2 linked regions of the Lonchura striata genome follow. The protein of the gene in region 1 purifies or fractionates together with the protein of each later gene. This does not show direct contact. Links are inferred from orthologs where the notes say so. Each region holds a gene or a part of one and is shown on either strand. Other genes may lie near its edges.

Region 1 (3,912 bases):
TAAAGAGGAAAATTATTTATAGTATTGAAGCAAGGTTACTATGTTTATATTATTGCAAAATATCTCTCATCTCAGTCATGTTCTTGTAAATCAGCAGTCAATCAAGACCGTTCAAAATGCTTAAAAACAACTGCCAAATAAATCCAGTATTTGAAGAAAGTCTTACCTTTTAACAGATGAGTAATTAAGGATTAAAAAAACAGTATTCTTAAGACCAAGGGCAGTAAACCTTGTATTCTGAAAGTAAACCTTTCTAAAATACAGCTGCTGCAAGTTTCTTCATGTGTCCTTTTTTACAGCATCTGTGACTCACACAACAATCAGTAAATGCTATGCTGACTGTTTTAATTCAATCCCATTCTATAAACTAGTTTTCTACATGCCAAACTCTTACCATGACACTACTGTAACTAAAACCAAGGCTAAAACTTAAGCACTATTCCCTTTTTATTACTACACATGCAGAGCATTGTTTTAGAAAGTTACAATTACACAATTACCTGAGGAGCAATACGATTAACGATTTCCGAAATTTCTACTGCACATCTACTGGTAGACTGCTTGCTTTTTCCATTGCCTATGAAAAAAAACAAACTTCTTAAAATTTTGAAATCTATCCAGTTTGTGAAGTGCAGTACATCTCAAATAACTCAAATAGGCCTGTAAACATCGGAGATTGATTCAGTGCTGTACTGAAGAATTTATAGGTTTATAACGAAAGTAAAATCAAACAACCGTTGTAAGAGAAAAGAACCTTCTTCCAAGGAACCATTTATAACTTTTGCTACACTCGCACTCAAACAAGTGTCCTGCAGTTTGGATTTTGGTATTACCTAATCTGTGTGCAATTGGTGAATGAGAATCCCAAAAGATTTCTTGCTGTGTCTCAGTGTCATTAATAGGAGAGCTGAAAGTAGGTATTCGGGATTTCCTACTCAATGATCTCTTTGGTGTCTTATGTAAACATGGCTCTGTGTAAAAACAAAGAGGACCTTTATTAAAAAACAACAAATAAAAGGCAAAAATCACTTAGAATACAGAACACGTCAAGGCAAAAGAAAATGCTTTGGGAACATCAAGAATAAAAATCAAGTTCACACACACCAGAATTGCTTTACTCACAACAGGAATACTGTTCATAACTAGACATTAAATACAGGACTCTGCCAATTAAATCCCCACAGAGATTAGAGAAAATTACATGATACTGACACCTTTGCACCCAGGAACTGATTGTAATGATGTCAGTTCTTACACTTGAGAGAACACTGACTTAATCTTCTATTAAGAGAAAAATTATGTATACCTCTATGAGAGAAGATTTTGTATTCTTGCTTGCTTTGTGTCTTTCACCCAGACTCTGAGCTGAACTACTTTTTTAATGGGCATCCAAACCACTCTGGGTCATAACCTACATTTGTCTGTATTTCCTCCACTGAGCCCTTCCAGCTAGGACTATTAAAAGCAGGAATATAGCTATTCAAACCTGCTTGCAGCTGCCTTTGATCAGTAAGTGAACTAAACACACTATGTGAAACTCAGCTAGTCACCCCTGCCCTTTAGAAATGATGCTGTGGATGTGGAAGCCTACAGAAATAATTTAAAAGATGCTATCACTACGGGAGGAACATCTTAGAGGATGTTTTGCCCTGAAGTGCCTAGCATGGCCATAGTGGTTTTATCCTCTCCTCGGTTAGTTCTCAGTATTTGCTGTGGGAATCACAGAATAGGTCAGGTTGGAAGGGAGCACACTGGGTCACCTTGTCCAACCTCCCTCCTCAAGCAGGGTCATCCCAGAGCACAGGCCACGGGATTGTGCCCAGATGGTTGTGGAATATCTCCAGCGAGGGAAACTCCACACTGTCTCTGGGCAACCCACTCCAGTGTAGGGTCACTGTACAGCACAGAGGTTCTTCCTCATGTTCAGGTGGAATTTCCTGTGCATCAGTTTCTGCTTGTTTCTTGTGCTACTGCTCAGCACCACTGATCAGAACCTGGTGTTTGGATATTTATATTTAGAGCAGAACTTGGCACCCTCCCTTTGGATATTTATACACATTGATGTGTACCCTCTGTTTTTTTTCGCGATGCTAAACAGACCAAACTCCCTCAGCCTTTCCTCGTAGAAGACATTCTCCAAACCACTAACCAACTTTGTAGCTGTCTGATGGACCTGTTCCAGGAGCTGCATGTCTCTTGTCCTGAGGGGCCCAGAACAGGTCACAGTATCCCAAATGTGGCCTCAGCAGGGCTGAGCAGAGGAGCAGGCACAGCTGCCTTGACCTGCGGGCAATGCTCTTCTCGCCGCACGCCAGGTACCACTGGCCTGCCCGGGGCACGCTGGCTCAACCTGCTCTCCACAGCAACAGCCCTTCCTTCCCAGGGGCCGAGCGGAGATTTACAGCGCACCAACCCCTCCTCACGGCTCGGCCGCGCCTCCCCCGCGGTCCGAGACACGGCGGGCAGGCCCGGGGCCCCCGGGGGCCGCTCCCGCCGTACCTGCAGCGCGGGGCGAGCACGCCGCCTCCCCGGCGGGCAGGCCTCGGCCCGCGCCGCCTTCCACCGGCCCCTCCTCCGCGGGGAGCTCCGCCCGCCGCCGCGCCCGCTGCTCCTCGCCGCCGCTGCGCCTCCTCAGGGCGGCGGGCCCGAGGGACAGCCCCCTCCGCCGGCTACCGGGCATGGCGGCCGCTGCGGCAGCACCGCGCCCGTCCCGCCACCGGCGGCGCCGCCATTTTGCCGGGCGGCTCGCCAGGCCGCCGCCGATTGGCCGCCGCCGCGGCGCCTCCAGCGGCCATTGGCCCCGCGCTGCGGGGCGGGCGGGCGGACGCGGCGGAGAACTGCGGCCCCGCCCCGCCGCCCGTGAGGCGCTGCCGGGTTCAGCCGTACGTGAGGGCTGCCGGGGTCCCGGTGCCCGTGAGGGCTGCCCGGGTTCAGCCGCCCGTGAGGGCTGCCCGGGTCCCGGTGCCCGTGAGGGCTGCCCGGGTCCCGGTGCCTGTGAGGGCTGCCGGGGTCCCTCTGCCCGTGAGGGCTGCCCGGGTCCCGGTGCCTGTGAGGGCTGCCCGGGTCCCTCTGCCCGTGAGGGCTGCCCGGGTCCCGGTGCCTGTGAGGGCTGCCCGGGTCCCTCTGCCCGTGAGGGCTGCCCGGGTCCCTCTGCCCGTGAGGCGCTGCCCGGGTCCCGGTGCCTGTGAGGGCTGCCCGGGTCCCTCTGCCCGTGAGGCGCTGCCCGGGTCCCGGTGCCTGTGAGGGCTGCCGGGGTCCCTCTGCCCGTGAGGGCTGCCCGGGTCCCGGTGCCTGTGAGGGCTGCCCGGGTCCCTCTGCCCGTGAGGCGCTGCCGGGTTCAGCCGCCCGTGAGGGCTGCCCGGGTCCCTCTGCCCGTGAGGGCTGCCCGGGTTCAGCCGCCCGTGAGGGCTGCCGGGGTCCCTCTGCCCGTGAGGGCTGCCCGGGTCCCGGTGCCCGTGAGGGCTGCCCGGGTCCCTCTGCCCGTGAGGCGCTGCCCGGGTCCCGGTGCCTGTGAGGGCTGCCGGGGTCCCTCTGCCCGTGAGGGCTGCCCGGGTCCCGGTGCCTGTGAGGGCTGCCCGGGTCCCGGTGCCCGTGAGGCGCTGCCCGGGTCCCGGTGCCCGTGAGGCGCTGCCGGGTCCCGGTGCCCGTGAGGGCTGCCCGGATCCTCTGCCCGTGAGGCTCTGCCCGGGTCCCGGTGCCCGTGAGGCGCTGCCCGGATCCTCTGCCCGTGAGGCTCTGCCCGGGTCCCGGTGCCGTGAGGCGCTGCCGGCTCCCCCCGCCCGGCGCTGCCGCCGCCGTGGGGCGGTGAAGCCCTGCTGCCGCCGGAGCTGGGGAAGGGCGATGCTCAGCAGGGCAGAGGGGCAGGGTGTGCCCTCCTGCGGGACTTTGCTTGGCCTGAGGTGCCTTGAATTT
Region 2 (3,912 bases), on another chromosome or scaffold:
CACTAAAACTAAACACATTGAGAGAAATGCATGTAGGCATCGTAAACAGAGTCTTCACTGGGATATTTATTCAGCAGATCTCATTGAAAAAGAGGAAAAAAAAGAGGGGGAAGAACATGGGGGTTGGGAATGTAAGACACACACTTTACAGTGGAATTTCTAGACATTTTCCTCTGTCCAAAAAACACCCTCAGGCAATGAGTACATGTACACCATATCTCATCAACAGTATATAATGATATATCTATGCAATGGTAATGGATAATGTCAAAATCTGTCCCGAGAAATTTCCATTATCACAAGTGTTAATCCATTCACAATATTCAAAGTCTATCATCATATTAACTTATAAATTTATAATGATCAACTTACATATCTGCCTTTTTTCCCATTCTGTTGCAAATTTAAATCTTGAAAATACCAAGCTTCAACATAAACATTTTCAACAAACTCACCAATGCAACTGCATTCAGTTTCCTCCTGATTTCCATCCACATTTACAAACATAAGTGGGGAAGACTTCATGATATGTTGAATAAAATCCAGCAACATCACAGAACTTGGCTGTGAATCTGATTTCTTAATCAGTTCCAAGGCAACTTAAAAAAAAAAAAAAGAAGAAATCAGCATGGCAATAAACCACATAAAATTGCGCTTACACTTTATGAGAAAATAAAAAATATAAAATATTATGATATGGTATTAAACCCTTCAAAATATTTATTGAAAATATGTTTATTAATCTATGAAGATAATTGTATGCATATTGTAACCCTCTCTGTGACTCCAAACTGTATGAAGAAAAGTATGAATTACTTATTAAATATTATTAACCCCAAACGCATTAACATTCAGTTAAAATTCTATCCAACTGTGTATTGAGTGAAGAACAGCAAATACTTAACATTTCCCTAGGTTTACAGTCTTGATAAAAAAACAATGCTGGGAATTGTTTCAAATGCCCAGAATATAAAAGGTTTTAAATGGCAAAGTCAGCTTACTGAAGCAGAAAGTTTAACAAAACACTGAACATATCTAATGCTGCTCCATTGAAACAGGTATCTGACTCGTATCAGATTTATCCAGATCCTGCAGGGATCCTATCCAGTGTTAGTTAGAACAAGAAGGAAACTATCTGAGATTCAGACAAGATTTTAGTTCTGAAAGACACATGTGAATATTAAGAATTGCAAGCTCTGTTACTCATAGCAGTGACATTACATGACACTCCTGCTTTTCAATGTTGTGAGCATTCGTTTCCATACAACCCTGCACTACACTCACCCCTCCTTCCTTGGGGGTCTGTGTGTATGGTTTATTTACAAGGGAACTTCACATCCCAATGCGAAATACTTCATCACTGACTTTATTAAAAACTAGGTAATAAAATGGCATTGTATTCAACTAAAACTTTCTTAATAGTGTCTTAACTTTTATTTTTGGCAGGAATTACTTAAAGTATAAAGCAGACAGTTTTATATTAGAGGATTGCAATGCTTACCAACATCTACATCTGTAAGAATTCTGTCAATGAATTGGCAAAGTATTTGTCTTGGTTTCTGCACAACTGTGTTGTATTCTTCTGGACTAGCACTGCAATTAGAATGATATATTGATGTTACCAATTGTAAAGTACAAAATAATAACTTGGAAGTCTATCTCAACAGTTTAATGTTAAACACTCATTTTCTTCTAGAAGTCTTCAAAAATAAACATAAATGGTTTTCTTGGTGGTGTATAGTGGTTTGAAGGTGGGGGGAGGCGTGGTTGGGGTTTTTTTTCAATTTTCTTGTTTTAGTGACTGGCCTGTCCCACAGCAATCAGGTCTCGTAGGGTCACATCTTCGGTATACAATTGTACCTCCACATCAGCTCGCTGTTTATTGCTGTACAAAGCTACAGTGCCCGTGCTGCCATTAACACTGCAGAGGCCGGCATGCTGCAGCTCGCGTGGCTCTCAGCGAGCGCTCACAGCACACGCAGCCTCGGACCGGGCACTCTGAGGCACCAGGCCGCTCACGCCGGGATGTGCCAGCGCCACCCGGGAGGGAGAGAGGAGCACCGGGCAGGTGGCGGGAGAAGGGCCCAGCTCAGGTGAAGGCGCGGGCCCGGCCGCAGGACACCTCGCACACCTCCTTGTCCCCCTCCCCGCCACACCTGCCGGGCGCGCCTCCCCAGCGCAGCCAGCCCCGCACACACACGCCCTGCACGGCGGCCGCCGGGCCCGGCCTACCCGGCGAGCTCCCGCAGCGCGGGGATCATGGAGGCCATGCCCAGGCCCTGCTCCGCCATGGCGCCGCTTTGAATCAGGCGGGCGGCGCGGGGCGGGCGCGGCGGGACGGCGGCCGGCGGGGCCCAAACCTCCTCCCCCGGCGCTGCTCGGCTTTAACCGCTTCGTCCCCGGGCGCGGAGCGGCCGCGGCGGTTCCGAATCGGTCCCCGATGGCTCCCGCGGACCCCGCGCCGCCCCGGCGGGGCTCTGCTGCGCGGAGCGCTGCACGGACAGGTAACACCCAGCGGGGCCGAGCGCACCCCGCCCGGCCTCGGCCGGTTCGGCAGCAGCACTGAGGGGCCACACGGTCCCGGCGGGCGCCTGGCGGAGTACGGGATGCGCGACAGGAAGCGCCGCAGCGCTGGAAGTGGCTTAAGCGAGGAGGGGAGCGCCCGCGCTGTGAGGAGAAACTTCGCTGCCAAGGGAGCGCTCGGTGCAGCTCCCTCTCCGCCCGCCGCCTGCCCGCCCCGGCGGGACGCACCCGGGTGTCAGGTGCAGGACAGCTCCGCCGGCCGCCGGGACCGGCCCCAACGCCCCCGGCCCGCCCCCGCCATCGCCCCGCCCGCCCGGGCTGGCCCGCGGCAGCAGGTGGTGGCGGGACCCGGCGGGCGCCGGCGCTGCGGGACGCGGCCGCGGGGCAGGTGGGCAGCGAGCGGGGCCGGGGCCGCTCTCGGCTGCTGCCGTGTGCCGGGGCCGGCGGGAGCGGGGCCGGGGCCGCTCTCGGCTGCTGCCGTGTGCCGGGGCCGGCGGGAGCGGGGCCGGGGCCGCTCTCGGCTGCTGCCGTGTGCCGGGGCCGGCGGGAGCGGGGCCGGGCCGAGGGCGAGCGGAGCCGGCGGGCGGGCGCGTTCGGCAGGTGAGCGCGCTCGGCGCTCCTCCGCACAGGTAGTGGTGAGCAGCGTGTGTAAGATAGAGCTTTTCTCTTTTGCTGTTGTTGTTACTTTCTGAGCACATGTTGCTTTGCGTTACGTTTCTTTTGCGAGCCGTTGGCGTGTGTAGAGTTCGGAAGGTGCCGCGGAGAGCCCCGGAGGGACGCGAGGCGGGCGCTGAGCGGGAGCGTGTGGCCCCACCTGGGCAGCGAGTCCCGAGCGTTCAGGAGAAAAAAGAATAAAACAAGGGCTTATGGGCAGGTGTGAACTGCAGAGAGAGTACGCGAGGGGACACTCAACTCTGAGCTTTGTTTTTGTTACTATGAGCTCTGGCTCTTTATGCATTTGTTTGTGAAGTTTGCTTAGCGTTGTTTCTGGGTTGAAATAAAATCCTCTCGGAGGATAATTCTCTTGCGTGTTTCCACTGTGCTAGGGCTGTGTCGCTTGCATGTAAAACAGCCCACGTGTGTTTCAATTACTTGAACCATTTCAGATTAATGCTTTCGGGAACCTATTGCTATATTTCATTCAGAGATAGTTATTTTTATTCTGCAAAATATATGTTTGTCATTTCAGTAAAATTCTGCTGGCCTCTTTAAAGGCCGGTAAATTGGCAAGGACCTAAAATACTTAAAGAAACTTTACAAAATATAACTGGGTTTTATCTTAGTTTGGTTTTCAGCATGTATTGCAATGTGTTCTACTAGCTAACTTTGTAAAATGTTAGTCTTTCTAGAGTAATTCCTAGAGAAAAAACAGGAACCCTGTTTTATGTG

The links.
Region 2: the proteins of ETAA1 (region 1) and ATR purify together in Homo sapiens (affinity purification with western blotting; 3 studies listed by BioGRID, with this or other methods). This does not show direct contact. The link is inferred for Lonchura striata from reciprocal best matches to the Homo sapiens genes ETAA1 and ATR.

Annotation. Positions count from the first base shown.
Region 1 is NC_134605.1:2,578,917-2,582,828, reverse strand, and holds the start of ETAA1 (ewing's tumor-associated antigen 1), read right to left. Parts: upstream 2,681-3,912; coding exon 2,500-2,680; intron 972-2,499; coding exon 834-971; intron 578-833; coding exon 501-577; intron 1-500. UniProt on the Homo sapiens protein: Replication stress response protein that accumulates at DNA damage sites and promotes replication fork progression and integrity.
Region 2 is NC_134612.1:12,840,577-12,844,488, forward strand, and holds the start of ATR (serine/threonine-protein kinase ATR), read right to left. Parts: upstream 2,300-3,912; 5' UTR 2,292-2,299; coding exon 2,233-2,291; intron 1,594-2,232; coding exon 1,502-1,593; intron 600-1,501; coding exon 456-599; intron 1-455. UniProt on the Homo sapiens protein: Serine/threonine protein kinase which activates checkpoint signaling upon genotoxic stresses such as ionizing radiation (IR), ultraviolet light (UV), or DNA replication stalling, thereby acting as a DNA damage sensor.